5 linked regions of the Macaca mulatta genome follow. The protein of the gene in region 1 interacts with the protein of each later gene in a pairwise test. Links are inferred from orthologs where the notes say so. Each region holds a gene or a part of one and is shown in the gene's direction. Other genes may lie near its edges.

Evidence for each region.
Region 2: the proteins of ADRB2 (region 1) and VAPA interact in a protein complementation assay, tested with the Homo sapiens proteins (2 studies listed by BioGRID and IntAct, with this or other methods). The link is inferred for Macaca mulatta from reciprocal best matches to the Homo sapiens genes ADRB2 and VAPA.
Region 3: the proteins of ADRB2 (region 1) and ARRB2 interact in binary tests that used the Homo sapiens proteins (3 or more experiments, as listed by UniProt). The link is inferred for Macaca mulatta from reciprocal best matches to the Homo sapiens genes ADRB2 and ARRB2.
Region 4: the proteins of ADRB2 (region 1) and SLC52A2 interact in a protein complementation assay, tested with the Homo sapiens proteins (2 studies listed by BioGRID and IntAct, with this or other methods). The link is inferred for Macaca mulatta from reciprocal best matches to the Homo sapiens genes ADRB2 and SLC52A2.
Region 5: the proteins of ADRB2 (region 1) and KCTD13 interact in a protein complementation assay, tested with the Homo sapiens proteins (2 studies listed by BioGRID and IntAct, with this or other methods). The link is inferred for Macaca mulatta from reciprocal best matches to the Homo sapiens genes ADRB2 and KCTD13.

Annotation. Positions count from the first base shown.
Region 1 is NC_133411.1:157,783,175-157,788,548, forward strand, and holds ADRB2 (beta-2 adrenergic receptor), read left to right. Parts: upstream 1-2,696; 5' UTR 2,697-2,736; coding exon 2,737-3,984; 3' UTR 3,985-4,016; downstream 4,017-5,374. UniProt on the Homo sapiens protein: Beta-adrenergic receptors mediate the catecholamine-induced activation of adenylate cyclase through the action of G proteins. The beta-2-adrenergic receptor binds epinephrine with an approximately 30-fold greater affinity than it does norepinephrine.
Region 2 is NC_133423.1:80,873,742-80,879,896, forward strand, and holds the start of VAPA (vesicle-associated membrane protein-associated protein A), read left to right. Parts: upstream 1-2,581; 5' UTR 2,582-2,806; coding exon of another isoform or gene 2,807-2,885; intron 2,886-3,118; exon of another isoform or gene 3,119-3,881; intron 3,882-6,155. Other genes in the region: uncharacterized protein LOC114673840, read right to left, coding at 1,846-1,891, 2,092-2,363. UniProt on the Homo sapiens protein: Endoplasmic reticulum (ER)-anchored protein that mediates the formation of contact sites between the ER and endosomes via interaction with FFAT motif-containing proteins such as STARD3 or WDR44.
Region 3 is NC_133421.1:6,237,624-6,243,829, forward strand, and holds the start of ARRB2 (beta-arrestin-2), read left to right. Parts: upstream 1-2,732; 5' UTR 2,733-2,809; coding exon of another isoform or gene 2,810-2,832; 5' UTR 2,833-2,861; coding exon 2,862-2,995; exon of another isoform or gene 2,996-5,033; intron 5,034-5,711; exon of another isoform or gene 5,712-5,913; intron 5,914-6,206. UniProt on the Homo sapiens protein: Functions in regulating agonist-mediated G-protein coupled receptor (GPCR) signaling by mediating both receptor desensitization and resensitization processes.
Region 4 is NC_133413.1:154,752,503-154,758,783, forward strand, and holds SLC52A2 (solute carrier family 52, riboflavin transporter, member 2), read left to right. Parts: upstream 1-2,656; 5' UTR 2,657-2,721; exon of another isoform or gene 2,722-3,178; intron 3,179-3,313; exon of another isoform or gene 3,314-3,317; 5' UTR 3,318-3,423; coding exon 3,424-3,553; intron 3,554-3,655; coding exon 3,656-4,523; intron 4,524-4,620; coding exon 4,621-4,744; intron 4,745-4,829; coding exon 4,830-5,042; 3' UTR 5,043-5,301; downstream 5,302-6,281. Other genes in the region: FBXL6 (F-box/LRR-repeat protein 6), read right to left, coding at 1-196, 430-661, 730-843, 936-1,043, 1,118-1,249, 1,567-1,630, 1,757-1,915, 2,160-2,563. UniProt on the Homo sapiens protein: Plasma membrane transporter mediating the uptake by cells of the water soluble vitamin B2/riboflavin that plays a key role in biochemical oxidation-reduction reactions of the carbohydrate, lipid, and amino acid metabolism.
Region 5 is NC_133425.1:28,638,962-28,645,183, forward strand, and holds the start of KCTD13 (BTB/POZ domain-containing adapter for CUL3-mediated RhoA degradation protein 1), read left to right. Parts: upstream 1-2,834; 5' UTR 2,835-3,016; coding exon 3,017-3,260; intron 3,261-5,972; exon of another isoform or gene 5,973-5,975; coding exon 5,976-6,145; exon of another isoform or gene 6,146-6,222. UniProt on the Homo sapiens protein: Substrate-specific adapter of a BCR (BTB-CUL3-RBX1) E3 ubiquitin-protein ligase complex required for synaptic transmission.

The DNA of each region.
Region 1 (5,374 bases):
AATAGATCCTTAATTAATATTTGTGGATTTTATCGGAAATACTTGTTTTCTAAGGCATCTGTCTTGCAAAAAGTCAGTTTCTGCTGTGAAGGATGTTAAAGGGGACATGTAGGTTAAATTCTGTTTCTGAGTTTTGCTTCCAGAGTAAACACCCAACTTACTTTTGCCCTAAAGTATTTTATTGTTCTAGTAGAGAAGACTAACAATATATTCTAAACCGCTAAGTAATTTACATAAACTTCACTTACAAACTGTATTTGTGTGACACTTATATGAGCAAAAGCATTTTCATATTTCTTACTATATTATTCAATTCTTGCTCACCCCAATGGAAGAGACTTTATGCCCCTTTAGAGATAATGGAAATTAGGTACTTTTGATTTCTCTTAGAAAAAAAAATGAACTAGAAAGCTCCAAGTTTGGTGAATCTGGAACGTGGGTATTCCAATTCCAGTTGTAGTGCTTCCTCCCTGTCCATCACTCCTGTCTGCATGTAATTATGCAATACATTGAAAAGATTAAAAGATGGGTCTTAGACTCAGGCAGACCTGGGTCAAATCCAGATTCTGGCACAGCCCAGCCATTGCCCCTGGGAAGGCCATTTTCCTCTTCGAACCTCACTTGTTAATTAAGCTAAAAATAGTCCCCACCCCCATGGGACTGTGGGAAGGATTAAATAGAATAATGCATGAAAAGCACATAGCAGAATGGTCCATAAATGTTAGCCATTGTTATGTTATTATGTAATCTGCAAAGTATGTTTAGTTACACTTCATGAAATAGTTTCAGTTTTTCAAAGACACCACTAATACATGGGAAATCAAACCCTGAAAATTAATTTCACTTTAGCAGTAAAGTCACATGCCAGATGCAAAGGATAGTATTTCATGAACAAAGATCTTACTTTTGAGGTTTGGTCTTACTTTTTTTATTTCATAAGGAAGAAATATATATATATATATTTATATATTTGGTTTTTATTTATTTGTATATTTATTTATAATTTGTATTTATATATTTATATATTTGTTTATATATATATATTTATATTTGTTATTTATTTATTTATTTATTTTTTTGAGATGGAGTCTTGCTCTGTCACCCAGGCTGAAGTGCAGTGGCACGGTCTCGCCTCACTGCAACCTCCACCTCCCAGGTTCAAGTGATTCTCCTGTCCCAGCCTCCCGAGTAGCTAAGACTACAAGTGCCCGCCTGGCTAATTTTTGTATTTTTAGTAGAGACAGAGTTACACCATATTGGCCAAGATCTTTTGCTTTCTATAGCTCCAAATGTTCTTAATGTTAAGACACTCTTAAGACTCTGAACCATATGAATTTGCCATTTTGGTAAGTCACAGACGCCAGATGGTGGCAATTTCATATGGTGCAACCCGAAAGATTAACAAACTATCCAGCAGATGAAAGGAATTTTTTAGTTGCATTGGGATTACTGAAGAAATTGTTTGAATTCTCAGTGCATCTCCAGTTCAACAGATAATGAGGGAGTGATGCCACACTCTCAAGAGTTAAAAACAAAACAACAACAAAAAAATTAAAACAAAAGTACACAACTTTCTCTCTCCGTCCCGAAATACATACATGCATACTCCTGCTCCAGGTGAAATCCAAAGGGTAAAACTGTCTTCATGCCTGCAAATTCCCAAGGAGGGCACCCAAAGTACTTGACAACGAGTGTGCTGAGGAAATCGGCAGCTGTTGAAGTCACCTCCTGTGTGCTCTTGCCAAATGTTTGAAAGTGAATATACTGGGTTACCGGGTGTATGCTGGGAGGGGGGCATTAGCAGTGCTTGGGTGAGGGAAGTTTGTGAGTACCCAGATGGAGACATCCGTGTCTGTGTCGCTCTGGATGCCTCCAAGCCAGCGTGTGTGTTTACTTTCTGTGTGTGTCACCATGCCTTTGTGCTTCTGGGTGCTTCTGTGTTTGTTTGTGGCCGCGTTTCTGTGTTGGACAGGGGTGACTTTGTGCCTGACAGCTTCTGTGTGAGCGCGCGCGCGAGTGTGCATGTCGGTGAGCCGGGAGGGTGTGTCTCAGTGTCTATAGCTGTGGTTCCGTATAAGTCTGAGCATGTCTGCCGGGGTGTATTTGTGCCTGTATGTGCGTGCCTTGGTGGGCACTCTCGTTTCTCTCCGAATGTGGGGCAGTGCCGGTGTGTGCTGCCCTCTGCCCTGAGACCTCAGGCCGCGCAGGCGCCCAGGGCAGGCAGGTAGCGGCCACAGAAGAGCCAAAAGCTGCTGGGTTGGCTGGTAAGCACGCCAGCTCCAGCTTTAGCCCTCTGGGGCCAGCCAGGGTAGCCGGGAAGGAGTGGTGGCCCGCCCGCCGGGGAGCAGCTGGGCCCCTCCCGGGCCAGCCCGAGCAGAGGGAGGGCGAGAGGAGGGGAGGAAAGGGGATGGGTGCCTCGCCCCTTCGGGCCTGCCGGCGTGCCATTGGCCGAAAGTTCCCTTACGTCACGGCGAGGGCAGTTCCCCTAAAGTCCTGTGCACATAACGGGCAGAGCGCACTCCGAGGCGGCTTCTCCAGAGCACAGGCTGGAATTGGCGGGCACCGCGAGCCCCTGGCACCCGACAAGCTAAGTGTACAAGACGTGTCCCCACCACACCCACCCCACGGCCGCTGAATGAGGCTTCCAGGAGTCCGCTCGCGGCCCGCAGAGCCCCGCCGGGGGTCCGCCCGCTGAGGCGCCTGCAGACAGTGCGCTCACCTGCCAGACTGCGCGCCATGGGGCAACCCGGGAACGGCAGCGCCTTCTTGCTGGCACCCAACGGAAGCCATGCGCCGGACCACGATGTCACGCAGGAACGGGACGAGGCGTGGGTGGTGGGCATGGGCATCGTCATGTCTCTCATCGTCCTGGCCATCGTGTTTGGCAATGTGCTGGTCATCACAGCCATTGCCAAGTTCGAGCGTCTGCAGACGGTCACCAACTACTTCATCACTTCACTGGCCTGTGCTGACTTAGTCATGGGCTTGGCAGTGGTGCCCTTTGGGGCCGCCCATATTCTCATGAAAATGTGGACTTTTGGCAACTTCTGGTGCGAGTTTTGGACTTCCATTGATGTGCTGTGCGTCACAGCCAGCATTGAGACCCTGTGCGTGATCGCAGTGGATCGCTACTTTGCCATTACTTCACCCTTCAAGTATCAGAGCCTGCTGACCAAGAATAAGGCCCGGGTGATCATTCTGATGGTGTGGATCGTGTCAGGCCTTACCTCCTTCTTGCCCATTCAGATGCACTGGTACCGGGCCACCCACCAGGAAGCCATCAACTGCTATGCCAAGGAGACCTGCTGTGACTTCTTCACGAACCAAGCCTATGCCATTGCCTCCTCCATCGTGTCCTTCTACGTTCCCCTGGTGATCATGGTCTTCGTCTACTCCAGGGTCTTTCAGGAGGCCAAAAGGCAGCTCCAGAAGATTGACAAATCTGAGGGCCGCTTCCATGCCCAGAACCTTAGCCAGGTGGAGCAGGATGGGCGGACAGGGCATGGACTCCGCAGATCTTCCAAGTTCTGCTTGAAGGAGCACAAAGCCCTCAAGACGTTAGGCATCATCATGGGCACTTTCACCCTCTGCTGGCTGCCCTTCTTCATCGTTAACATTGTGCATGTGATCCAGGATAACCTCATCCCTAAGGAAGTTTACATCCTCCTAAATTGGGTGGGCTATGTCAATTCTGGTTTCAATCCCCTTATCTACTGCCGGAGCCCAGATTTCAGGATTGCCTTCCAGGAGCTTCTGTGTCTGCGCAGGTCTTCTTTGAAGGCCTGTGGGAATGGCTACTCCAGCAACAGCAATGGCAACACAGGGGAGCAGAGTGGATATCACCTGGAACAGGAGAAAGAAAATAAACTGCTGTGTGAAGACCTCCCAGGCACGGAAGACTTTGTGGGCCATCAAGGTACTGTGCCTAGCGATAACATTGATTCACAAGGGAGGAGTTGTAGTACAAATGACTCACTGCTGTAAAGCAGTTTTTCTACTTTTTAAGACCACCCCCCCCCAACAGAACACTAAACAGACTATTTAACTTGAGGGTAATAAACTTAGAATAAAATTGTATAGAGATATGCAGGAGGAGGGGCATCCTTCTGCCTTTTTTATTTTTTTAAGCTGTAAAAAGAGAGAAAACTTATTTGGTGATTATTTGTTATTTGTACAGTTCAGTTCCTCTTTGCATGGAATTTGTAAGTTTATGTCTAAAGGGCTTTAGTCCTAGAGGACCTGAGTCTGCTATGTTTTCATGACTTTTCCATGTATCTACCTCACTATTCAAGTATTAGGGGTAATATATTGCTGCTGGTAATTTGTATCTGAAGGAGATTTTCCTTCCCACACCCTCGGACTTGAGGATTTTGAATATCTCGGACCTTTCAGCTGTGAACATGGACTCTTCCCCGCTCCTCTTATTTGCTCACACGGGGTATTTTAGGCAGGGATTTGAGGAGCAGCTTCAGTTGTTTTCCTGAGCAAAGTCTAAAGTTTACAGTAAATAAATTGTTTGACCATGCCTTCATTGCACCTGTTTCTCCAAAACCCCTTGTCTGGAGTGCCATTGCCTCCCCGACTGGAAACCACAGGTAACTACTTGTAATAACTGCCCATGACTTAATGTAGAATGATACAAGAATGACATGCACAGATTGCTTAACCCTTTCATTTGCCTTTGAATCTGCTGCTGCAAAGCTGCATCTCTCCTGACACTCATGCCCCAAATCAGTTCTGCCTGCTCTTAGTATAGCTCAACTCTCCCTATGGTTATTGTTCTGTGTTGTTACCTCGGAAACACTGACTCACAGAAGCGGAGTTATGGGCATATGTTTTTTTTCTCTCCACGCGCCCCCACCACCCACCTTCCAGTTCTACTTGTTTCATAACTGTTTATATTTATGTCTTGGCCATGTGTTATAGTGGAGCTCTTTGTACTGCATCAGGGCTTGGCATTTTAGGGATAAGGAAGATGTTCTTGTGAGGAAGCTACTCGAACATGGCCCCGTAATTCCGAGGGAAAATTAAAAAGGCATTGGTCATGGGGAGAAAAACTGGAGAACACATAACTGATGGATACCACGTGACCTAGAAATAGAATTTTAACCCCTTTTCCTTCTTTCCTTTGGTCCCTGTTTTCTTCTCCCACTGACTCTCCTCGGTTCAGTATAAACCAAGGTTCTGAGTCTTGGCACTGTTAGCATTTTGGACCAGATAACTCTTTGTTGTGAGGGCTGCATCATTGGATGTTTAGCACCTCTGGCCTCTATTCATTAGATGCCAGGAGCATCCCCTGCTTATAACAGGCAAAAATGTTTCCAGATATTGCAAAAGAGCCCCTGAGGTGTGAATTAGCCCCTGATTGAGAGTC
Region 2 (6,155 bases), on another chromosome or scaffold:
GATCACTCATCCTCCTGTAGGGGAGTTACTGGGAATGTCCTCCGCATGCTATTCTGCTGGTTGACTGTTTGCACATGGTGGATTCCCAAAAGCTTTCTGGTAAGAGAAGTGTCCCTCCAGCTATGGAGGGACCAGATCAGCCTAGGCTAGCTGGCCCGTGGAGGAGAGTTCTTAGGCTGGCAAAAAACTGGAGTTTGTGAGGGCCTTTAGGGTTGTCAATTCACAACTAAACCTATATGGGACACTATCCTTTGGACTGATTGTCAATTTTAGCTAATTTTTTCTTTCTTAAACAAAAACAAAAATAACTTGAACCCCTATTTTAATAAACATACAATTTTTTTGTATTCTACCCTAATGACAATCGACATTTCAAAATAAATTTTGTGAAGAGAAAGAAATCACAGTAAAGGTAAATTTAGAATATGCTTCAAACTACTTAAGCACTGTATCCTCCTGCGTCTGGAGTTGATTTCTTCCAGTGGGTTCCTGGTCTCGCTGACTTCAAAAATGAAGCCCTGGACCTTCGCGGTGAATGTTAGAGCTCTTAAAGATGGCACAAACCCAGGTCAGGCATGGTGGCTCATGCCTGTAATCCCAACACTTTGGGAGGCCCAGGCAGGTGGATCACGAGGTCAGGAGATAGAGACCATCCTGGTTAACACGGTGAAACCCCTTCTCTACTAAAAATATAAAAAAATTAGCCAGGTGTGGTGGCGGGCCCCTGTAGTCCCAGCTACTTGGGAGGCTTTGGCAGGAGAATGGCGTGAACCTGGGAGGTGGAGCTTGCAGTGAGCTGAGATTGCGCCACTGCACTCTAGCCTGGGCAACAGAGCGAGACTCCATCTCAAAAAAAAAAAAAAAAAAAAAAAGATGGCACAAACCCAAAGAGTGAGCAGCAGCAAAATTTATTGTGAAGAGCAAAAGAACAAAGCTTCTACAACTTAGAAAGGGACCCAAGCAGGCGGCCCCTGCAGGCTGGGGTGTACAGTTTTTATTCCCTTATTTGTCCCCGCCCATGTCCTGCTGATTGGTCCACTTTACAGAGTGCTGATTGGTCCATTTTACAAACCTATAGCTAGCTACAGACCACTGATTGGTGCATTTTACAAAACTCTAGCTAGCTACAGAATGCTGATTGGTGCATTTCACAATCCTCTTGTAAGACAGAAAAGTTCTCTAAGTCCCCACCGGACCCAGAAGTATGGCTGGCTTCACCTCTCACTCCAAGGAACCACATGGCTGAAGACACATTCCTCCTGGGTGGCACGATCTTCTGTGAATGCCAGGCTAGCGATTCCAGCAGGCTAACGATTCCAGCGATTCCTCTGATACCTGGATCCCACATGAAAACTTGGACTTGGTGCCTACATCTAGACTGCTGTTTCGTCTCATTTATTTTCTAGACAAACTGTGCTGCTCCACAGCGTTAGCATCAATATGTCTTTTGTTTCGTGGAGCTTCCTAGGGATTTAAATTCAAACCGTATCATAAAATACAATAAAGGTTTATTTACAGCACATTGGTTTCATTTGACGTTCCTGTACCAGACTACCGTGGCAATCGGCTAAAGTTTTGTCAACAAGTTTGCTGCTGGGATTTTTCTCATTTGGTTCAGTTTACTACCGCCTATCATAAGTGATGCAGATGGGTTTCGTTTCTAACATGTGAACGTGACAACTGTTTTGGTTTGGATCCATCATTAATCAAAACTGAAGAAGGTTATTGGGTTCGATGGTGTAGATTTGGACTTTTATTTCTAGCTTCTGTGTGCTTTGTCATATTTCCCCTTGCTTCCTAGACGAGATGTGTTTCCTTATCTGATTTTGCATCACTGGAGACAACTCAGGAACCAGGAGAGGCTGGATTGGATACCACAAGGAATGCAGCCCTGCCAACAGAGGGACGGATAGAATTAGAGCAAACGGACACATCCCCCCAGCCTGTTCTCCACAGGGCAGATTTTATTAGTATATTTCTAACATATGGGCCTCGTTTCAGTCTTCAAAAGTTTTTTTTCTAGCGCAAACTAGACGCGCTCTGAGCCAAAATTAGCGTCCGCGAACCCCACCCCATTCGCCTCCAACGGACCTAGCTCGCCTTTCCGCCCACAAACAGCCGTTACTACAGTTCCCAGCAAGCACCGCGCAGGGCCGCAAAGGGCCAGGCCCTCGGCGAATGCCCCGCCCCGCAGAAGGCATGCCGGGAGTTGTAGTGAGTGGGCGCTTCCCCACTGCTTCTTGTCCCTTCCACTGGGCATTCCCACTTGGAAGACTGTTAAGCGCTGCCAGAGCAGTTTCTCTAGTTCCGTATTCGCAGCTCAAGGTGACAGAGGACTGCGCCGCCAGCCCTGCGCTGCGCATCGCGTCGGCCCCGCGGACCTTTGCCCCGCCTCCCTCCACACCCGTTCCCTTGACAGCTGGGCTGCGCACGGGGCCGCGGCAAGCCGCGAGCGCGCAGGCGCAGCAGCCCCGCGCCGCGCTAGGCCGGCCTGGAGGGCGGGACGAGCGCTAGTGGCTCCTGGCCGCCGGGGCGCGCACGTAGGCACGCAGAGGCCGTCACGTGGGGCGCCGAGGATCGCAGTGCGCGTGGCCGTGGCGGCTGGTGTGGGGTTGAGTCAGTTGTGAGACCCGGAGCTGGTGACCCAGCGGGTGGCCCACCGAACCGGCGACACAGCGACAGGCGTCAGGGCTCGGGAGCTGCGAGCCTGGCCTCGTCTTAGAGCTCGGCCGAGCCGCCGTCGACCCCCGCCCCCAGTCAGCAAACCGCCGCCGCGGGCGCGCCCCCGCTCTGCGCTGTCTCTCCGATGGCGTCCGCCTCAGGGGCCATGGCGAAGCACGAGCAGATCCTGGTCCTCGACCCGCCCACAGACCTCAAATTCAAAGGTAGGCAGGACGGGGACACCCCAGGGCTGGCTGGGGCGCGCGGAGGGCTGGCGGGCGGCGGGGGGCGCGGAGGACAACTCGGCCGCCCCGGCCAGAGGGAGCGCCCCCTCCCCCACGCCCCGGCGCCTGCCCTCTCCCGGCTGCTGCCTCGCCGCCGCCTCGGCCGGCCTGCCCCTTGCTCCGGCCCGCTTCGTCCCCTCCCGCCCGCCCGCGCTGCGGTGCGCGCGCCGGCCGGGGCGAGGCGGACGGGAGCCGGGCCCTGGCGCGGCCGCCGCCGCCGCCATCTTGCGGTCCCGCGGGGGCGCCTCCTGGGTGTCCGGTCCCGCCCGAGCCGCCGTCCGCCCGGGCCCGCGTCCCTGGTCCCCGAGGCCGACGGCGTGCTCCGGCGGGGCGTGGGCGGGTGGGCATCGGCGGGCGTGCGCTCTGGGCTGCGGCGGGGAGTGGGCTCTGGAGGTGGCGCAAGCTGCGTCCGTCGCCCGCTCCCGGCTGTCAGCGGCGCGGGGAGGCCAGGGCGCGGCGCGGGACCCCTCGGGAGTGAGACCGCCCCTCGGCCCCTGCCCCGGCCCGGGCAGAGCTGGGAGCAGCCGGCCCTCGGGCTCCGCGGAGCGCGTCGTTTCTCACCTTTCCGCCCGGCTTAGAACTCGGCCGTCAGGTGTAGGGCGCGCCGGGGAGGCGGAGAAGCCCTGGAGGTGCCTGGCGAGGGCTGCCCGGTGCTGTTGGCACGGACCCAGGCGCGTGCGGGCAGCAGCGATGCGTCAGCTGCGAGCGGAGAGTTGTAGGTTCATAGTAAGCGGGGCTTCCTGCCTTCCACGACATTTCAGTGTGCCACCCGCGTGCTTTTATTTAGCCCTTCGGTTGCGCTCCTCTGCTGAGAAACCTTCAGTGCGTGTGACTTTTGCTTTTACGTTTGCGGTTGCCGACAGATCCTGAGAGGCCTGATAAGGTGTGACCCAGCTCTGGAGCTTTGTAGGTTTTTATTTTGTAGCGCTGCCTGTGGTAAGTTTTTAGTCTGACTTGGTGATCCTGGAAGAATCCCAGGGGCTGTTTGGTGCCTTTCCTTAGTCGATATGTGTTGTACTTTAGGAAAGAGAGTAAAACTGTACAGATTTTTTTTTTTCTTCTGTATTCTTAAGGAATACTGAAAGAGTGTGAACATCTGATAGAAAGTAGGTTTCTTCCTATCTTAAGTGTAAAGTGAGGCCCGTTTTGGAAGTCTATGTCTTGTATTTCAGTTGTTGAATGAGAACAATTTTTGTGAGGTGCATAGCAATTCTAGTGCTAAAAGAAAAAGTTAAATCCTTTATTGTTGTGTGAGGTTGAGTCCAAGAGAAGACCAACTACATTATTTCCATAGGAAAAACTTCAGTTTTAGGAATTTAAAATATATTCTGGAATTATGAGATTAATATTGCGTAACTACATTGCAAGCTTTTTAGTGCATTTACAAATTTCTTTGAATAGAAGTAAGTGTAAGCGAGCTACTTGTTGGGTAAGGATTTGGTTTTAAGACAAGGTGCAGTGAATGTATTTTATTGCAAGTTTATGTAAGTTGTGTGATTTTTTTACGTAGTTTTAGCTGGGGGAAAACCTTTGAGGAATTATGAAAAGTCCTAACTCAGCCATTATCTCGAGATAATTTAATGTAAGCCTGTATGATGTGTTTTTTAATATTTCGTTTTTATCTTTTGATTGGCCGTGTTTACAGTGAACATTTCCTCTACTGGATAACTGTGTAAGTTGCCATGAGGGACTTATAAGTATGTGTAAGTTGCCATTAGGACAGTTTTAGGCCAGGAAATGTCCACAGTTTGAAGTTTTTTCTCCTTAGGGAAGTTGTTATGTTGCTATAGTAAGAGACTAATAATAGTGGAGAAGCAGGTTTAAAAAAACAAGCAAAAACCCTACACAGTGACTTACTCTCATATTTCCTTTTTTGGGGGTATTGGAGAATTACAGCTATGATTATAGAACACGTTGTTCTTGTGTTGCCAGTAAAAATGATAAGACTAGCCAGGGAAACAGAAAAGGTATATAGATGGTATAACAGAGACTCAACCCTGTCTGAGGAAAGAAGCCTTCTCTACGTGCCCCATCCCTCCCTTAGGAAATTTTTAAGGAAAAGGCTCGTTTTTCATTTCAGGGGAGGTTTAGGCCAAGAGAGTGGTTGAGTAAACACACTGCTGTGAGAGAATGCCTGGTACTTAAATGCCCAATAGTTTGTTGTGTGTTTCAGTTTAAAGACGGAGATAATGGGGGGGATTGGGAGGTGACATTTGGTGTCTGGTTCCTTAATATTATTTTTTTAGTCAAAGGTAAATTGTTTGCTTGATGGAAACCTTTGTGTATTTAAGTGCACAGCTCAACACTGAGGAGACTCATTTAGAATCTACAGTCTACTTGTGCTTAGTTTGTGATAGAAAAAAATCGTTTAACTGACTTATCCTAAATCATTCAAAACTTTCTTTTTAAGTGAAGGACTTTAAAAAGACAGTTTTGCAGAATTCCTTGTCATCTTCTGGTAGGTTTATTTTAGTTATTTTGATTCTGAGTTTGAGATGGTTTCTCCAGGAGTGACTCAGGTAATCATTCTGAGAGTGGATGGTTTTTCTTTTATACACCCAACACAACCATCTTGAAGATGAATTAACAGCATTTTGCAGAATTTTGCAAAAGCAGATACCAACTAGTTCAGTACTACATTTTTCTGTATACCTAGTATTAAAAAAAAAGTTTTATATAATCATTAACATACAAAAGTGCATTTATGATGATGTAATAAATTCTGAAGTAGATCTCTTGTGTTGATAAAGAAAAAGAAGTAGACACCGCTTTACTTCAAATTCTGTTTAAACCTTGGAAGTAATTTTACCTGGATTTCAGATTTGAAAGTTGGTATTTTATGTGAAAGATTTTTTTTGTCTTTAAAATTTTTTACATGATAAAATTCCGTTTGTAAGTATTACACATTTTATTTTTCTAACTATAGCAGTTTTTTTGTTTTTTATTTTTTGAGATGGAGTCTTGCTCTGTTGCAGTGGCTTGATCTGGGCTCACTACAGCCTCTGCCTCCTGGTTCAAGCATTTCTCCTGCCTCAGCCTCCAGAGTAGCCGGAACTACAGGCATGCACTACCATGCCCAGCTAATTTTGAATTTTTTTAGAGACGGAGTTTTGCCAGGCTGGCCTCGAACTCCTGACCTCAGGTGATCCACCTGCCTCGGCCTCCCAAAAGTGCTGGGATTACAGGCGTGAACCATCACACCTGACCCCT
Region 3 (6,206 bases), on another chromosome or scaffold:
ATTTTTAGTAGAGACGGGGCTTCACCATGTTGGCCAGTCTAGTCTCAAACTCCTGACCTCAAGTGATCCGCCAGCCTCAGCTTCCCAAAGTCCTGGGATTACAGGTGTGAGCCACCCCACCTCGCCCATTTTTCCTCTTATTGCCTTCTATCCAATCCTTCAAGTCCTGGCATTCTGCCTCCAAAATACATTAACCCAACAGCGTTCATTTTTCTCCATCTCCACTGCCACTCGGGTCCAAATCACCATTCACTCTCACCTAGTCTCTTACAATAGCCTCTTACAAAGCCTTCATTACTCTCTGCTTCCCTCTTAGCACCCTTGTAGTCCCTTCACACAGCAACCAAAGTGGTCTTTTCAAATGTAAACCAGTTCTTGTCACTCCTTGCTTAAACCCCTCTGTGGCTTCCAAATGTGATGAGAATGAAATCCCATCTTCTCACTGATGCCTACAAGAATCCACCCAATCTGACTCATACCCACCTCCCTGACCTCAACACATACCACAAGTACAACTTTCCTTCTCTCTTTCTATTCTTGAGCCAAACTAGGCTACTTTCTATTCTCCAGCAAAACCCATTCCCACATCAGAACCTTTGCACATGTTGCTGATTCTGCTGGAGAAACTGTCCTTTGATCCTATGTAACTGACACTATCTTGCCATCCTGAGAGGGCTTCTTTTCAGGTAGCTCCCACTCCAACCCCCATCAGCCTCCATCACATTTCCCTGCTTATAATTCATGTCATTACCAGAACTTTATTTGCTTTCTTATGTATTAACTATCTCTTTTGTCTAAAATACAAACTCCATGAAAGGGCTGTTGTCTCCTACACTATGCTCTTCCCATCACCTAGAAGAGTGCCTGGTACATAAAAGGTGCTGAAAAGATATTTCCCCAGGCGGGAGTGCAGTGGCACGATCACAGCTCACTGCAGCCTTGACCTCCCAGCTCAAGCGATCCTCCCACCTCAGCCTCCCTAGTACCTGGGACTCTAGGCACTAGTCACTATACTTGGCTCATTTTTGGGTTTTTGGAGGTTTTTTGTTTGTTTTGTTTGTTTTTGAGATGAAGTTTCGCTATTGTCACTCAGGCTGGAGTGCAATGGCACGATCTCAGCTCACTGCAACCTCTGCCTCCCAGGTTCAAGTGATTCTCCTGCCTCAGCCTCATGAGTAGCTGGGATTATAGCCTAAATTTCAACATGTTGGCCAGAGTGGTCTCGAACTCCTGACCTCAGGTGATCAGCCCACCTCGGCCTCCCAAAGTACTGGGACTACAGGTGTGAGCCACTGCACGCGGCCCCCTCTGCTTTAAAAACCACTACTGGTTCCTCGTGTCCTTCTGCGGGGCCCTCAGTCTCGCTCCTTCATCTGCTATACAAAATCCTCCACAACCTGTTCCAGGCTTCCCCACCAACACCACACAACAGGATGTGCCTTGTCTTTCTCTTTGGAATGCCCTGTCTTAACTTCTGCCCGGCCCGGCACGGTGGCTCACGCCTGTAATCCCAACACTTTGGGAGGCTGAGGCGGGTGGAACACGAGGTCAGGCATTTGAGACCAGCAAGGCCAACGTGATGAAACCTTGTCTCTATTAAAAATATGAAAAGTAGCTAGGCATTGTGGCAGGCGCCTGTAATCCCAGCTACTCGGGAGGCTGAGCAGAGAAGTGCTTGAACCTGGGAGGCGGAGGTTGCAGTGAGCCGAGATCGCGCCACTGCACTCCAGCCGGGGCAACAGAGCGAGACTCTATCTCAAAAAAAAGAAAACGAAAAAAAACTTCTGCACATCCTTCAGAAAGACTGTCCTCATTTGTTCTCCGCTCCACCCCCGCCCGGGCCGAGCGCTGTTAGTGGCTGTGTCTTCTGACTCAGACCTCTGTAATAGCATACCTGGGTAATACCTGTGTATGTGTCTCCTCAACTATTCTAGGAAGTCAGGGGCCATGGTAATTCATATGTGTCCCCATCGATTGGCATAGTAAATAGCATAAAATAGGCACGGATGGGTGGGTCGATAGATGGACCGATGGGTGCGAGCGAGTGAGTGAGTGGATGTTAGCTGGGATGGGTGGGTGAAGGAGATGGAGAGTCAGAGACATTGGAAAAGGGAACCCTGCGAAGATCAAATGTAGACACCAGGAGGAGCTGACACGCTGCGGTGAAGAAGCGGGAGGGCTGGCCACAGAAGGCGGTACGCTCCGCGTGGAGCAGGTGAGCCGCGCGCACTGAAGCAAGTATCACGCAATTGAACTGCTCACCCACGTGTTCCCCCCCACCATCCTCCTTCCCAGACGGCGCTTCAGCTCATTCCACCGCCCCCAACAGCCCGGTCGCCCCCACCGCCACTGAGAAAGCAAACAAAGGGGAGGAGACCCCTAAAGGTTCTGGATGCCGAGGGCCAATCGAAAGACTTAGATCCCCTGGAAGGCGGGAGCCTTGGTTTAGGGGGGCCCAATCGGTTTCAAGGGGTTGCGGCGGGGCGGGGAGATGGGCGGGAAGAGCGGGAGCGGGCCCCGCGCGCGGGGGAGGGCTCCCCGGCTGGGACGGAACGCGAAGGGTTGGGGGCGGAGCCAATGGCCCCGTGTGTCTGCTAGGAGAGGGCGGGCAGCGCCGCGGCGCGCGCGATCCGGCTGACGCATCTGGCCCCGGTTCCCCCAGACCAGAGCCGGGCCGGGAGGGAGGGGGAAGAGGCGAGAGCGCGGAGGGCGCGCGTGCGCATTGGCGCGGGGAGGAGCAGGGATCTTGGCAGCGGGCGAGGAGGCTGCGAGCGAGCCGCGAACCGAGCGGGCGGCGGGCGCGCGCACCATGGGGGAGAAACCCGGGACCAGGTAAGGGAGGTGGGGCCACGCGGCGGGGCATGGGCGGCGGCTCGGGGCGGGGGCTGGGACGGTCCCAGACGAGGACGCCGCGGAGAGGATCTGGGGGCCGGACGCCTGGGTCCCTAGGGACAGCCATCCGGGGCCGCACGCGCAGGTCCTCGAGGATAATGAGGTTGGGGGGAAATGCCCGGGCCCCTGCAGAAAGCGAGGCCGGAGGGGGATCAGAAAAACCGGTGTCGGGGTTCTCTCAGGGATGTGGGGCCAGACTACTGGGCTCTCCCGTGCCCAGGAGTCTGGGCAGGCTGCGATGCAGGGACGGAGGGAGGAGCAGGTGGCTGGCCCCGAGGGGTCGTGTACGGGGAGGCTGGATGCTGGGAGGGGGATCCCCTCCAGACTCGTGCCAAGCCAATGCAAAGCCTCCTGTCCAATATCCCCCAGGTAGTCGCGCTGCCCACACCTGTCCCGAGGGCCGGGTGGCTCCTCATCCAAACTTCTACCTTCCCCTGGGTTGCCAGGAGCAACAGCTTCATCTTGGGAGAGCCTGACCCTTCCTGAAACTAGATCGGATCCCTCTCCCTGGGGGTGGGGGAGGCAGTATTCACGCTGGGCGCGCGTCCACTCCCCGGATGTTTTCTGTGCAATCGAGGCTCTTTCCTTCCACTGATACCCCGAGTTCTCTTTTTTGGTCTCTAGCAAAATCCACTTCCTGTTGTGACTCAACACCCCCAAGGGGTAAGGGGTGAATGCCTGAGTCCCAGGGGAGCAGGAGCAAAAGACAGAAAGGTTGGGGCTGTAGGCCTCAACCCAGAGGGGATCGGGAATAGGGAATTGGTCCTGAGCTCTGGCTTGCTCTGCAAAGCATCATATCGACCCCACTTCCAACCTATAGAGTAGGAGAACCCAGGTTTCTGAGCGTCAAGTAGATGAGTATCAGAAAGAGATCATCAGAGAGATGATCGGTATCCTGGATTAGGGTTTAAACATCCCAGAGAAAGGGGAAGTTGCTGCCTTGTGGGAGGCCCCTGATTTCCGTTATGTGGTTCAAGGAGTGGGACAGATGGACCAAAGGGGACTGCTGACTTGACCCAATTTCCCTCACCTCCATCAAATTCTGGGCCACAGGAAATGGAGAGAATAGCAGGAAGTGTGAAAGGACATCTGCTTCAGCTACCCCTGCCCCCATTGGGCACCTCCCTGGTCATCCCCACACTCTGCCTCCTTGGCCAGCCTAGTATCTGCACGCTGCTCCTCCTCAGCCTGGCAGGAGGTGGCTGGGTTAGGATCCAAAGGGCAGGTGCCTTGCAGCTGCTCCAGGGCAGTTGCCCCAGAGCCACACTGCAGTTGGCCCACTGACTGTGGCTGTCACAGCCCTGTGCCAGGGCTCCTAATGGGAGGACACCCTGGGACAAAGAGGAAAACCAGAAGCAAAGGGGAGGGAGAGCCTGGATGATGCCACAGCACTCAGCCCCCAAGTTGGGACAAAAGATAGGATGTTTATTCTAGCTGCCACCGTATCGATGTTTATTCCCTTTTATTGGTTAGGAATACCTGGGGGCCTCCATACCCTTTACCTTATAATCTTTGGACAGCTTGGCTTTCTGGGAAGAAGGGACAAGTGAAGTTGTAGCAGAAACTGGGCCTATGGTAGAAACCATTTAGGGCCAAAGGCCAGAGTCATTGCTCTCCTATATGCTCCAGCTGTCAGAGCTGTAGACCAGATGGAAAGATGGTTAAGTCTTACCCAGATACTGCGGCAACCTGCCCATTGGGGTCCTCTGGGAATGGGGTGGTAGAGTTGGAGGAGGGATGGGCTAGTTGGCAGGATTTCACGTTCTGCTGTCTATCTGAGGATCCTTTCCAGGGATCACTGCTGAGGCAGAGTGGATTGGAAGGAGTAAGGTGATGCTTCAAAGAATAGGCTCACAATTGGCCATATCACTGGGATTGCCAAACACTTCCTTACCCTCCCAGCAGTGGGTGGAGTCCAGGCTTAAATTGTTTCAGCAACTGGAAAGCGAATACCCTTCAATTGAACAAACTATTGATGCCAGCTACAGAGACGGATAGTGTAATATTGATTGAGAGGATGGACTCGGAGCCAGACCGCCTTGGTTTCTATTAATTCCCACCATTTACTCTCTCTGTGACCTTAAAACACTTAACCTCTCTCTGCCTCAGTTTCCTCACCTGGAAAATAGAGACATTAGGACCTCCATCACTGGGTAGTTTTATTTTATTTTATTATTTATTTATTTATTTATTTATTTATTTGAAATGGAGTCTTGCTCTGTCACCCAGGCTGGAGTGCAGTGACGCAATCTTGGCTCACTGCAACCTAAGGCCGGGCGTGGTGGCTCACGCCTGTAATCCCAGCACTTTGGGAGGCTGAGGCGGGTGCATCACCTGAGGTCAGGAGTTGGAGATCAGCCTGGCCAACTTGGGGAAACCTTGTCTCTACTAAAAAACTACAAAATACAGGCCAGACGCAGTGGCTCAAGCCCGTAATCCCAGCCCTTTGGGAGGCTGAGGCGGGCGGATCACTTGAGGTCAGGAGTTCGAGATCAGCCTGGCCAACATAGGGAAACCCCATCTATACTAAAAATATAAAAATTAGCAGCCAGGCGCAGTGGCTCACACCTGTAATCCCAGCACTTTGGGAGGCCGAGACTGGCGGATCACGAGGTCAGGAGATCAAGACCGTCCTGGCTAACACGGTGAAACCCCGTCTCTACTAAAAATACAAAAAATTAGCCGGGCGTGGTGGTGGGCACCTGTAGTCCCAGCTACTCGGGAGGCTGAGGCAGGAGAATGGCATGAACCTGGGAGGCAGAGGTTGCAGTGAGCCAAAATTGCGCCACTGCACTCCAGCCTGGGCGACAGAGCAAGACTCCATCTCAAAAAAATAAAAAATTATCCAGACATGATGGCAGGCACCTCTAATCCCACCTACTCAGGAGGCTGAGGCATGAGAATCGCTTGAACCCAGGAGGTGGAGGTTGCAGTGAGCTGACAGCGTGCCACTGCACTCCAGCCTTGGTGATAGAGCGAGACTCCATCTCAAAAAATATATATATACAAAACATACCTGGACGTGGTGGCTCACGCCTGTAATCCCAGCTGCTTGGGAGACTGAAGCAGGAGAATCACTTAAATCTGGGAGGCGGAGGTTGCAGTGAGCTGAGATTGCGCCACTGCACTCCAGCCTGGGCAACAGAGCGAGACTCCGTCTCAAACAACAGAGTATTACAAGAGATGACACATTTGAAACACGTGGAACGGTGCTGGGCATGGAGAAGTCACTCTGAATGTTAGCAGCATTAGCATCTTCATGATCTGGGTGGCACTGTGCTGGAGATGCGTAAATGAATAAGGCCTCCGAGGCT
Region 4 (6,281 bases), on another chromosome or scaffold:
GCTGGGTGTGAGCCCCCAGGGGTGCTTAAGAAGGCAGCCAGGGCCTGTTCCAGGTCCTTCTCACTGAAACCCTGGCCACTCAAGTCCAGTTCTCGCAGTGTATGGCACCACTTCTGAGTCAACAGGGGGCTGCCCTCCTTGGCTAGAGTCAGCCGGTCTGACGTGCCATACAGGCCCAGATGAAGCTGCTCCAGCTCTGAGGTGAGAGGAGTGAGCATAAGCTGCAGGGCGACAAGGACTCCCACAACTCACCCGCCCGGCCACCACCCAGGACCGCTGACCCTGGCACAGCACAAGGGTCCCCACACCTCACCCATTCAGCCACCACCCACACCTCACCTGCCTGCCCACCACCCAGGACCACTGACTCCAGCATGGCACAAGGGCCCCCACATCTCATGCGCCTGGCCACAACCCAGAACCACTGACCCCGACACGGCAGATCCTGAAGGCCAGCCGGCGTGATGCGCGCACAGCCACGAAGATCTAGTAAGCGCAAGTTGGGAGAGCCGTGGAGTAGGCGGCCCAGGACCTCGTTGCTTACAAAGTTGCAGGCTGAGCTCGCCAGGCAGAGTTCCTCCAGGCTAGGGAAGCCTGGTCCGGGAGCCACCCCTCGTCCCAGAGGCTTGGGCAGCCACATCAGGTTCAGCAGCCGCAGCACCTGGGGGCAAGGCCCAGGCTGTAGATAGGGGAGCGTATAAAAGGTGGGAGAGGCAGGGCGCCAGGTACCTGGAGCTGGGGGCAGCCTTTCTGCAGAGCCTCAACAGGCAGCTGAAGGGGAATGCTGTTACGGTTGATGCCGCTGCTCACCTCCAGAACCTGGAGCTGGGGGCAGCAGCTGCCCTGCAGAGGTGCGGGGGAAGGGGGTCACAGGGTCAGTGGCCTGGCAGTCCCCGGCTCAGCATCTGCCTCTGCTCCCACCAATGCCAACCTACCAGCAGTGCACCCACGATGGCTGTCGTCTGGGAGCTGTAAGTCAGCCACAACTTGCGCATTCGGGACCCTGCCTCCTCCAAGAAGCTTACCACAGCTGTGGACTCCACCTAGGGTCCCAATACAAGAGCACCCGTCACCCCAGCCTGGGCTTTTTCAGGGCCCCTTGGGACACAGGGCTCACCATGGAGTGCTGTAGGTCCAGGCTATGGAGCTGGCAGCAGGCTTTGGCTAGCATGACCAGAGCATCAGCAGTCACACCGTGGCAGCCGGAGAGCTTTAGGAAAGTGAGCCGAGGACAGGACTCGCCTACCAGCTGCGGGGAGACAGAGGGGCAGCTGGGGTTGGGAGAGGGCAGGCTAAGATCCACAAGGGAAACAAACAGGTGGCTGGTGCCAACCCCACGCTACCGCCTTAGCTGCGACCTCCTTTCTGCCCATGTCAGGCCTACTTGGGTGTCCCCGCCTCTGACACCTCCCTGCTGGAGGAAACAGCAGGAAAGGAGAACCAGGCAGGCAGGCAGACCTCCCGATGGAGCAGCGTTGGGCCCTCAAGGTGCCTGACCCACTTCCTAGAGTACTCAACAGTCCCAGAGGGTCACAGCTGGTGTGCAGGGCAGCCTGGAGCTCTCACCTTCAGCACGGGGTGTACCTGAGACTTCCAGTGGATGAGGGTCAGCCTCTGGAGCTGTGAAAACCTGGGCCGACAGCAGAGGCAGAGCTGCACTAATGTTCCCACACGAGTCCTTCCCACCCAACACCTTGGTGCAGGGAGACAGAAGGAGCCTGGAGCCAGGGGACAAGGAAAAGAGGGAACCCCTCACCGATTAGGCATAAGCCACTCCAGGGAAGCAAGAAGCTTCTTCTCCGCCTTGACCCCGCCCTTGGCAGGCCGGCCGGCCAGCGGGGACGACAGGGTCACGGTGTGCCAGAGCGCGGGTTGGGAAGCGGCCTCCTGCCAGCGGCGGCACACGCGCGCAGCCCTGGGAGGACAGCGTGCTGAGGCTGCCGGCCCCTTCGTAGGTGATACCCCCTCTCGCAGCGCAGTGGACATCCCGGCTCAAAGCCGGGCTCCTGGGACTCCAACCGGGCGCCTAAGGGGCTGCGCTCTCGGGCGGAGGGGTGCGCGCTCCGATGCTTTCGCCCTCCGCCCCCGCCCGGGCCACTGCTCGGACCACGTCTGGCCCAAGTCGCTGCGCTCGGCGACGGGCCCGGCAGCAGCGTTACCTGCCGAGGAAGGGCATGGGCCCGTCCGCCGCCACCAACAACCCGAAAATCTGCACCAGGATTTCCAAGGGAATGCGGTCTCCCCAGCCCGCGTCGGGCCCTTCCTCGGGCGAGGGCGCCGGGTCGGGCCTGAGCGTGGCCTTGGGCTTGGCCGCGGCGCGGCCCGGGGGCGGCTGCCGGGGAGTGCGGCGGGCAGCGCGGGGAGTGCGGCGGGCAGCGCGTCGCTGTGCGCGGGTCCGGGCGGGTCCGGGTTCGGACAGCACCAGCAGCATGCTGTCGGACGGAAGCAGGTGGTACCCCGAGCCGCTCGGCGCCAGCCGGTCCCACCACCAGTCCTCGGCCGAGCGGGCCCGCGGCGCTGCCCGAGCTCTGCGCCGGACCTTCCGGGAGGCCGGGGAAGCCATGACCACCGACGGCGCTTGGGGCAGCTCCAGGGAGCGGAACGGGCGGGGCTTACAGACTGACACCCCCCGACTCTTCTCTGCGCCCGCCCGCTGACCCGCTTCCGGGGCGGGACTTCCGGCCGTGGGCCATGCCGGGGGCGGGCCCGGAGTCGCGGCGGGTGAGTCTGGTGGTGGCTGCTGTCGGGTCCTGGGCTGTCTGGACTGAGGCGGCGTCCCTGGGCCGGACGGCGGCGTCCTGGCGTGGCGGGAAGCCGGCACTAGAGCGGGAGCGCACTGGGCGCGGGACCGGGAGGCGTAGGGTCGCCCATCTGAAGCTGGTGAGAGGGCGGCGCCCCTACGAGCAGAGCCGCCCCAGCCACTCCCCTGGGATCTGACTTGGCTCCTGCGGTCCCGGGCACCGCGAAGCCCTGGGGCGTGCTTGGCTCCTGCTGGTAGGCGCCCTGTCCCAGTGTCCGGCTTGGGGTGGTGGTTGCAGTGACTCCAACCCCGCCTCTCCCTGGAGAGGAGGGCTCCACTCGCTCCTTCGGCCTCCTCCCCTGGGGCTGCAGCGACTCGGGCCGGCTTCCTGCTTCCCTACCTGCCGGCGGTCCCGACGCTGGCGGGCGGTGCTGCTGGGTACGTTTTAGCCAATCCTCCCCATCCCCACTCCTGCCCGGGGCTCCCCCTGTTCCCTTGGTCTCACCCTGTTCCCTTGGTCTCACCCTGTTGATTCCGGTTCTGTATCCTGCCTATTTGTCTGTTTCTTTCAAGCTAGAAGAGGTCTTCAGTTCCCAGAAGAGCCAAAGCGTCTCTGGACCTAGGTGGGAAAAGAACTGGCTGTGACCTTTGCCTTGACCTGGAAGGGCGCAGCCTTGGACTGAATGGCAGCACCCACACCCGGCCGTCCGGTGCTGACCCACCTGCTGGTGGCTCTCTTCGGCATGGGCTCCTGGGCTGCGGTCAATGGGATCTGGGTGGAACTACCTGTGGTGGTCAAAGAGCTTCCGGAGGGTGAGTGGGAGGAGGTGCAGGTGTGCCCAGGAAGGTGGGCCCTGTCAGTTCTTCTTCCCTTGGGTATCATGCCCCTGACATGGTCTCCTCCCTTCCCTGCAGGTTGGAGTCTCCCCTCCTACGTCTCTGTGCTTGTGGCGCTGGGGAACCTGGGTCTGCTGGTGGTGACCCTTTGGAGGCGGCTGGCCCCAGGAAAGGGCGAGCGGGTCCCCATCCGGGTGGTGCAGGTGCTGAGCATGGTGGGCACAGCTCTCCTGGCCTTTCTGTGGCACCGCGTGGTCCTAGTGGCAGGACAGTCGCATTCCGTGGCCTTCTTAGCACTGGCCTTTGTGCTGGCGCTGGCATGCTGTGCCTCTAATGTCACTTTCCTGCCCTTCCTGAGCCACCTGCCACCTCGCTTCTTACGGTCATTCTTCCTGGGTCAAGGCCTGAGTGCCCTGCTGCCCTGCGTGCTGGCCCTAGTGCAGGGTGTGGGCCGCCGTGAGTGCCCACCAGCCCCCATCAACGGCACCCCCGGCCCCCCACTCGACTTCCGTGAGCGTTTTCCCGCCAGCACCTTCTTCTGGGCACTGACTGCCCTTCTGGTCGCTTCAGCTGCTGCCTTTCAGGGTCTCCTGCTGCTGTTGCCACCACCATCTGTACCCACAGGGGGCTTAGGATCAGGCCTCCAGGTGGGAGCCCCAGGAGCAGAGGAAGAGGTGGAAGAGGCCTCACCATTGCAAGAGCCACCAAGCCAGGCAGCAGGCACCACCCCTGGTCCAGACCCTAAGGCCTATCAGCTTCTCTCAGCCCACAGTGCCTGCCTGCTGGGGCTGTTGGCTGCCACCAACGCACTGACCAACGGCGTGCTACCTGCTGTGCAAAGCTTTTCCTGCTTACCCTACGGGCGTCTGGCCTACCACCTGGCTGTGGTGCTGGGCAGTGCTGCCAATCCCCTGGCCTGCTTCCTGGCCATGGGTGTGCTGTGCAGGTACACAAGGGCCCTTCAGCCCCTGTGCGGGTGGAACTCAGGGCTGGGAGCCAGGTCCTGGCACAGTCAGCCCTGACACTCTGCTCACTCTCTACAGATCCTTGGCAGGGCTGGGCGGCCTCTCTCTGCTGGGCGTGCTCTTTGGGGGCTACCTGATGGCGCTGGCAGTCCTGAGCCCCTGCCCGCCCCTGGTGGGCACCTCGGCAGGGGTGGTCCTCGTGGTGAGCACACGGGACGTGAAGTGGGGTGGGGGCGTTTTCGTGGAGCAGGCACATCTCACGCTCAGCTGCTGCTGTGTCCCCTCAGGTCCTGTCGTGGGTGCTGTGTCTTGGTGTTTTCTCCTACGTGAAGGTGGCAGCTAGCTCCCTGCTGCATGGCGGGGGCCGGCCGGCATTGCTGGCAGCCGGTGTGGCCATCCAGGTGGGCTCTCTGCTCGGCGCTGTTGCTATGTTCCCCCCCACCAGCATCTATCACGTGTTCCACAGCAGAAAGGACTGTGCAGACCCCTGTGACTCCTGAGCCTGGGCAGGTGGGGACCCCGCTCCCCGACGCCTGTCTTTCCCTCAACGCTGCCACCATGCCTGAGTGCCTGCAGCCCAGGAGGCCCGCACACCGGTACACTCGTGGACACCACACACTCCATAGGAGACCCTGGCTCTCTGGGGCGGGGGGAAAGGGCAGGGAGCAGGCTTGGAGCCAGGGACCGGTGGGGGCTGTAGGGTAAGCCCCTGAGCCTAGGACCTACGTGTGGTTTGCATAATAAAACATTTTTATTTAATGAGTTGGCATTAATTCTTTGAGCATCTCTTTCTGTGTGGATGCTTCTGTGAACTAGAGCCATGGCCGGGCCTGTTTAACAGGGGCCACCTCTCTCCAGGCCCTGGGCAGGTCCTTACCCACCGCAGGCTGGTCTCACAGATCGTACAGTCATGGCCCTCTGAGCCCAGACTCCCCTACATTCCTTCTTGGAACTGCCCTGGGCTCTCTGGGCACACAGGAGCTACCAGCTTCGGTGGTCAGAGGAGTAGAGGAGCCTCTTCCCAGCAAGGCCACTGCTCCACGAGCACCTCTCAAGGGCATTAGGGTCAGTTGGATGGGGCTGCAATGTGCCGAGCCCCGTGCCCACCCTTAGCCCTGGAGTGACGGCCTGCCTGCTGGCTTCCCAGGAGTATCCTGCTACGGATTTATACCGGGGGTTGGTGTGCAGGCACCGGGGTACTCAGTGAGGGGGACTCAGAAGAGACAGAGTTTAAGGTTTTAGCCCGTCAGGACCCTTTGGCCTGAGTATTGCCCCCTCCCCTGAGCCTCTAGCCTCTCAGTGCCAGCTCCTTCTGCAATCAGACCCTCAAAGGCCCCAAACCCTTTCTTTAGGCAGATTTAGCTACAGCTGCCTTCTCCCTGGGCTGATGGCACACCGCCCCTGGCCCTGAGCAGCCTGGGCCTGTAAGTGTTGGCATCTGCAGGGAATAGGACCTCAGCACTGACCATGGCCTATCCTGGGCTGGGTGGTTCTCAGGCACCCACAAAAAGGGCTGGAGCCGCGAAAGAACTAATTGAGAGGAGCCCCTGAGCCTGGCAGCAAGGATCTGGAAGAAAGTGCTGGGGGAGGCCGTGCCAAGGTAGGAGCCTGGCTTTCTTCACCTTGTGGGCAGCCACCCCAGGGAGGCAGGACACCGAACTGTGAGCAGTGTGACGGGCCTGGCAGCAAGGCCCATTCTCACAGGCAAGAGGCCCCACTTCTGCAGAGGAGCCCCTGCA
Region 5 (6,222 bases), on another chromosome or scaffold:
AATAAATACCTGATCAGATAATCAAAAATCCAGCGTGGGGGCCTTATTCCAGGAGTAAAAAAACTGAAAAACCAAATAAACCCACTGCTTGGCAGGGCATGGTGGCTCATGCCTATAAGCCCAGCACTTTGGGAAACCAAGGTGGGAGGATCACTTTGAGCTCAGGAGTTTGAGACCAGCCTGGGCAACATGGCGAAACCCTATCTCTATAAAAAAATATATAAAAATTAACTGGCATTGCCAGGCGCGGTGGTGGCTCATGCCTGTAATTCCAGCACTTTGGGAGGCCGAGGCGGGTGGATCACCTGAGGTCAGGAGTTCGAGACCAGCCTGACAAACATGGAGAAACCCTGTCTCTACTAAAAATACAAAATTAGCCGGGCGTGGTGGTGCATGCCTGTAATCCCAGCTACTCAGGAGGCTGAGGCAGGAGAATCGCTTGAACCTGGGAGGTGGAGGTTGCGGTGAGCTGAGATCGTGCCATTGCAGCCTGGGCAACAAGAGTGAAACTCCGTCTCAAAAATAAATAAATAAATAAATAAACAAATAAATAAATAAATAAATAAAATAAAAAGTAAACCCAATGCTTACGGATATCAACAAAATATCAGAACGCAATTCAATTAGCTCTCAACTATCAGTAGGATGGCACCTCAGAGACATAAGCAGTTTCAGGTGTACATACAATGATGAGTCAAGGGTCCCAGTCCCAGGCAGTGAGGGCTTCAGCTGAATCTTCGTTGCTCCTCCATTTCTGATAGTATCTTCCAACCAAGGACCACCAGGAAGCACCTGTAGTTGAACAAGCGCAGCTGAACAACATGGATATCTCAGCAAGAGCATGTGTGAAAGGACTTATTACAGGATTGGAGCTTTCGTTAGGGGACTTCTTAGGCAGGTTCAAAAAGGGGGGCATTTGCTCTGAGTTGGATGCTATCAGGAGGTAGGGATAATTATTTTTGGTTATCTTAATAATTCTTATCTAGCAGATGGGAGGAATGAATCAAGCTAAAACTGTACTTAGTAAAGCAGCAGCAGTGGCCGGGTGCAGTGGCTCATGCCTGTAGGCCCAGCACTTTGGGAGGCCGAGGCGGGCAGATCACTGGAGGTCAGGAGTTCGAGACCCGCCTAGGCAACGTGGTGAAACCCCATCTCTACTAAAAATACAGAAATGATCTGGGCATGATGGTGGTTGCCTGCAATCCCAGCTACTCTGGAAGCTGAGGCAGGAGAATCACTTGAACCTGGAGGTGGAGGTTGCAGTGAGCCAAAATCGCATCACTGCACTCCAGCCAGGGTAACAGAGCAAGACTTCATTTCAAAAACAAAACAAAACAGACAAAAACAACAACCAAAAAAGAAGCAGCAGTGACTTACCCTGTGGGAGTAAGGATTGTGTTGGTAATTTTCGTGGTTTGGACAATGTTCTTGTTTCTGTGTTGAGGCTTAATTATGGAATGGTCTTTTACTCTATCATCAGTCAAAGAGGGACCTTGTCTGATGTTTTTTGTGAAATTATGCTCAACAGGACACCACCATGGCCTCACTGTTGGTGCCAGGCCAGCTCCTAGCAACATCAAGGCTTCTGGAGTGAGGGTGCAAACCAGCTCCCAGCTGGCAGCAGTTGCTTTTCTCTTTTACACCGCCACACTCGAAATCAGAATTGGCAACCCCTTTGGTAGAACATGAGCTCCCGGTCACTATAAGCCCACTTATACCCAGTAACGGGCCTACGTCACTCATTTACACTCTGACCTCTCTCCTGCGAGGTTGGTGATTGCACCAACCACGCCCAGAGAAAAGTCACTCGTCCAGCATCTCCCAGGGACCTGCTGGCAGGGCTGAAGATAGAACTCTGACTCTGTGTTTTCCCTCCAGCAACTTCCCTTGCTAGACATTGAAGTGGATTGTTAAATCCCTGATATATCGGCTTCTCAACTGGATGCAGATCGGGTCAGATAAAAACACTTCTCAGTGCACCTTCTTGTCAACAGTGGGTTCCTATCTTTTCTTCTTTCTTTTGGGATTGGGTGCTAGGTCCCATGACATTAGCTAGGATTCTAAGACCTTTGCTCAGCTGCTGCTGCCACCACTGACACGCACTCTGCTCCTCAAATACGGAGAGCGTGTTCCTGCCTTGAGGATCTTTGCATTTGCCTTCCCTCTGCTTGGAACTCTTCCCTCACATCCGCTTCCTAGCTTCAGCTCGGCATCACCTCCTCAGAGAGGCCTTCTATCCTTGGTGCCCGGGCACCACTGCTACCCCTTTTGGCTTCTTTTTTTTTTTTTTTTTAAAGGATGCTATGTTGCCCAAGCTGGAGTGCAGTGGTCCGATCATGTATCAACTTCAGCTTCCAACTCCTGGCTTCAAGCGTTCCTCCTGCCTCGGCCTCCCGAGTAGCTAGGCTTACAGACTGGGGTTACAGGTGTGAGCCACCGCGCCCGGCCGCCTTGGCCTCCTTTAAGAGCTTCCCTCCGCGCTTTGTTCCAGTTCTCGTCACGGTCTGTTCAGTGCGCGGGGTTGGGAGGCGGGAAACTGCCCAATGCCCAGACCTCACGGTCTGTTTCTCCTCAAGCTCGGGAAGCTCTCTGACAGCAGAGACCCAATCACGAGGCGGAGACTTAGCCTTCCACATCGGGCAGCGGGTCGGCCGCATCCTCGATCTGGTCTTGGGGACTCGAGACCAGAGGGAAGAGCACGTCGACCCGCCCGGGGGACCTTAGGGCCACACGCCACCTATCCACCGGCTTCCCCAGCAAGCCCACTGCGCATGCTCCATACTCCAGCCCCGCCCCCATTCAGGGGCGGGGCCGCGCCTGCGCAGCTACCCGGCACTGGCTTCCGGGTGGTGCGAGCGAGATGGGGCGGAGGGCCGGTCTGGCTGAGTAGAGGCGGTGAGTGGGCGTGTGTGCGGAGCGGTCTGGCCCGAGGGCTAGGGGCTGGCCGAGGGTCTTCGGGAGCAGGTCGCAGGGCGCGGAGAGAGCCTGGGATCGCCGTCTGCCGCTGCTACCCGGTATGTCGGCGGAGGCCTCGGGCCCGGCGGTCCCCGCGGCCCCGTCCCTGGAAGCCCCCAAGCCCTCCGGTCTCGAGCCTGGCCCCGCCGCCTACGGTCTCAAGCCGCTAACCCCTAACAGCAAATACGTGAAGCTGAACGTGGGCGGCTCGCTGCACTACACCACGCTGCGCACCCTCACTGGACAGGACACCATGCTGAAGGCCATGTTCAGCGGCCGCGTGGAGGTGCTGACCGATGCCGGAGGTACTAGCGGCGCCCCCACCGTGCCCCCATCCCCAGATCCCCAACTCCCGTTCCCCTCAGTCTCTCACCAACGGGGCTCCTCATGCCCCTTCTCTCTGCCCGCTGCTGTCCCGTCAACTCATTCTCAGCTCCCTCCAGCCCCGACATCCCATCTTCTCGCCTTTTCTCATTCATAATTTCTCTTCTCCTCCCCCAATCCTTTACCCCCAGCAATAACCAACACTTACGGAACCCCTAACTCTGCCAGGCGCTGTGGTAAGTGATTGAACGTGTCAGTTCATAATCCTCATGACTACCTCTCCCACCCTTCACGCCTCAGCTCAAGACTTGGGAACCAGCCCTGCTGCCTGCAGTACTACTCCTGGCAGCCTTCATCAGTTTCCTCCGACCGCCCAGCCTTTTGTTTCCCTCTCTGCTTCAGAACTGCTAACAACCAGCCAGGAGGGCTGGGAGATCTTGTCTGCCTCTGTGTTGCCCTGACACAGGTCCCTGTACACTCTAGGAATCCATCTGTATATACACATTGCAGAAGGAGGCTGCTTTGGGTTTGCCAGGGACACCAGAGTGGAGGGTGGACAGGTGTCCTTGGCAGGTGAACCTTACCTTCTTGGAGTGTTGTATTCAAGTTTGGACCCTTCGTGCCCAAGTGAGACCTTGAAGTTTTGGAGTTTGGGAGTGGGAGAGTCTTAAGGGAGGGGTTAACAAGGACTGTGAGAGCAGTAGAATAAAAATTTGGGAGGCGGAGATCTGCCTTCAGGTATCAAAGGTGAAGAATTCGGCCAGGCACGGTGGCTCACGCCTATAATCCCCGCACTTTGGGAGGCCAAGGCGGGTGGATCACCAGAGGTCAGGAGTTTGACACCAGCCTGACCAATATGGCGAAACTCCGTCTCTACTAAAAATACAAAAATTAGCCGGGCGTGGTGGTGTGCGCCTGTAGCCCAGCTACTTGCGAGGCTGAGACAGGAGAATCGCTTGAACCTGGGAGGCAGAGGTTGCAGTGAGCCGAGTCGGCGCCGCTGCACTCCAGCCTGGGTGACAGAGCGAGACTCTGTCTCAGAAAAAAAAAGGAAGAATTCATTTGTCCAATGAGTATTTGTAAAATATCAGTTAGTGCTGGAGATAGGTAAATGAACCTGACAAAATTATATAACTTCCCTTTTTTTAGGGAGGTGAGAGATCAGAAGACCAATAAGCAAGTAAACAAAATGTATATGCATATGCAATTGCAGATAGTAGTAAGTTCTTTCTTTTTTTTTTTTGATAGTAAGTTCTATGAAGAATATAAAAGTTAAAATGGCAGTGAACTGGACGGTGGAGGTAGACATTTTAATTAAATAGAATGGTGAGAATTAACATCGGGGGTTAGCGGTTTATTGATAAGGTAATTCTGCAAGAACTTTCTCGTGGTGAGAGTCTTTTTTTTTTTTTTTTTTTTTGAGACGGAGTCTCGCTCTGTCGCCCAGGCTGGAGTGCAGTGGCCGGATCTCAGCTCACTGCAAGCTCCGCCTCCCGGGTTCACGCCATTCTCCGGCCTCAGCCTCCCGAGTAGCTGGGACTACAGGCGCCCGCCACCTCGCCCGGCTAGTTTTTTGTATTTCTTAATAGAGACGGGGTTTCACCGTGTTAGCCAGGATGGTTTCGATCTCCTGACCTCGTGATCCGCCCGTCTCGGCCTCCCAAAGTGCTGGGATTACAGGCTTGAGCCACCGCGCCCGGCCGTGGTGAGAGTCTTCTGACTGTAGACCAGATTTGGATGAATTAATTCTCTGGCTGGATATGTATAAACTTATGAGAGAACTCGCTGGAGATGTTTTAAAGAGATTTCTTGGCTGTGGCACAGGCTTGAGACAGATCAGTATTCAGACTTTTTTGTGGCTTTGGAATCCTTTTTCTTTTCTTTTCTTTTTTTTTTTTTGAGATGGAGTTTCGCTCTTGTTGCCCAGGCTGTCTCGGCTCACCACAACCTCCGCCTCTCAGGTTCAAGCGATTCTCCTGCCTCAGCCTCCTGAGTAGTTGGGATTACAGGCATGCGCCACCACGCCTGGCTAATTTTGTGTTTTTATTAAAGACGGGGTTTCTTCATGTTGGTCAGGCTGGTCTCGAACTCCTGACCTCAGGTGATCCGCCCACCTCGGCCTCCTAAAGTGCTAGGATTACAGGCGTAAGTCACCACGCCTGGCCTTCTTTTCTTTTTCTTTTTCTTTTTTCTTTTTATTGTTTTGAGACGGAGTTTCCGTCTTATTGCCCAGGGAGTGCAATGGCGCGATTTCGGCTCACTGCAAACTCCACCTCCCAGGTTCAAGCTGTTCTCCTGCCTCACCCTCCCAAGTAGCTGGCATGCGCCACCAAGCCCAGCTAATTTTGTATTTTTAGTAGAGATGGGGTTTCTCCGTGTTGGTCAGGCTGGTCTCAAACTCCTGACTTGAGGTGATCTACCCGCCTCAGCCTCCTAAAGTGTTGGAATTACAGGTGTGAGTCACTACGCCTGGCTGGAATCCTTTTTTCTTATAATTTAGGCCAGGTTTGGTGGCTCACACCTATAATCCAAGTGTTTGGGAGGCTGAGATGGGAGGATCACTTGAGCCCAGGAGTTTGAGACCAGCCTGGGCAACATAGTGAGACTCCGTCTCTACAAAAAAATAATTTTTAATTTAGTAGTTCCAGGTCACTCAGCAAAGCCATCTTTCCCCCTGCTTCTCCCCACCCCACTAGGTTGGGTGCTGATTGACCGGAGCGGCCGCCACTTTGGTACAATCCTCAATTACCTGCGGGATGGGTCTGTGCCACTGCCGGAGAGTACCAGAGAACTGGGGGAGCTACTGGGCGAAGCACGCTACTACCTGGTGCAGGGCCTGATTGAGGACTGCCAGCTGGCGCTGCAGGTGAGGGCCTTCCGAGTCCCTGTGCCTATGTTCCTGGGAGAGCTGCCCAAGCAGGTATTAGGGCAGAAAAAAGGAGA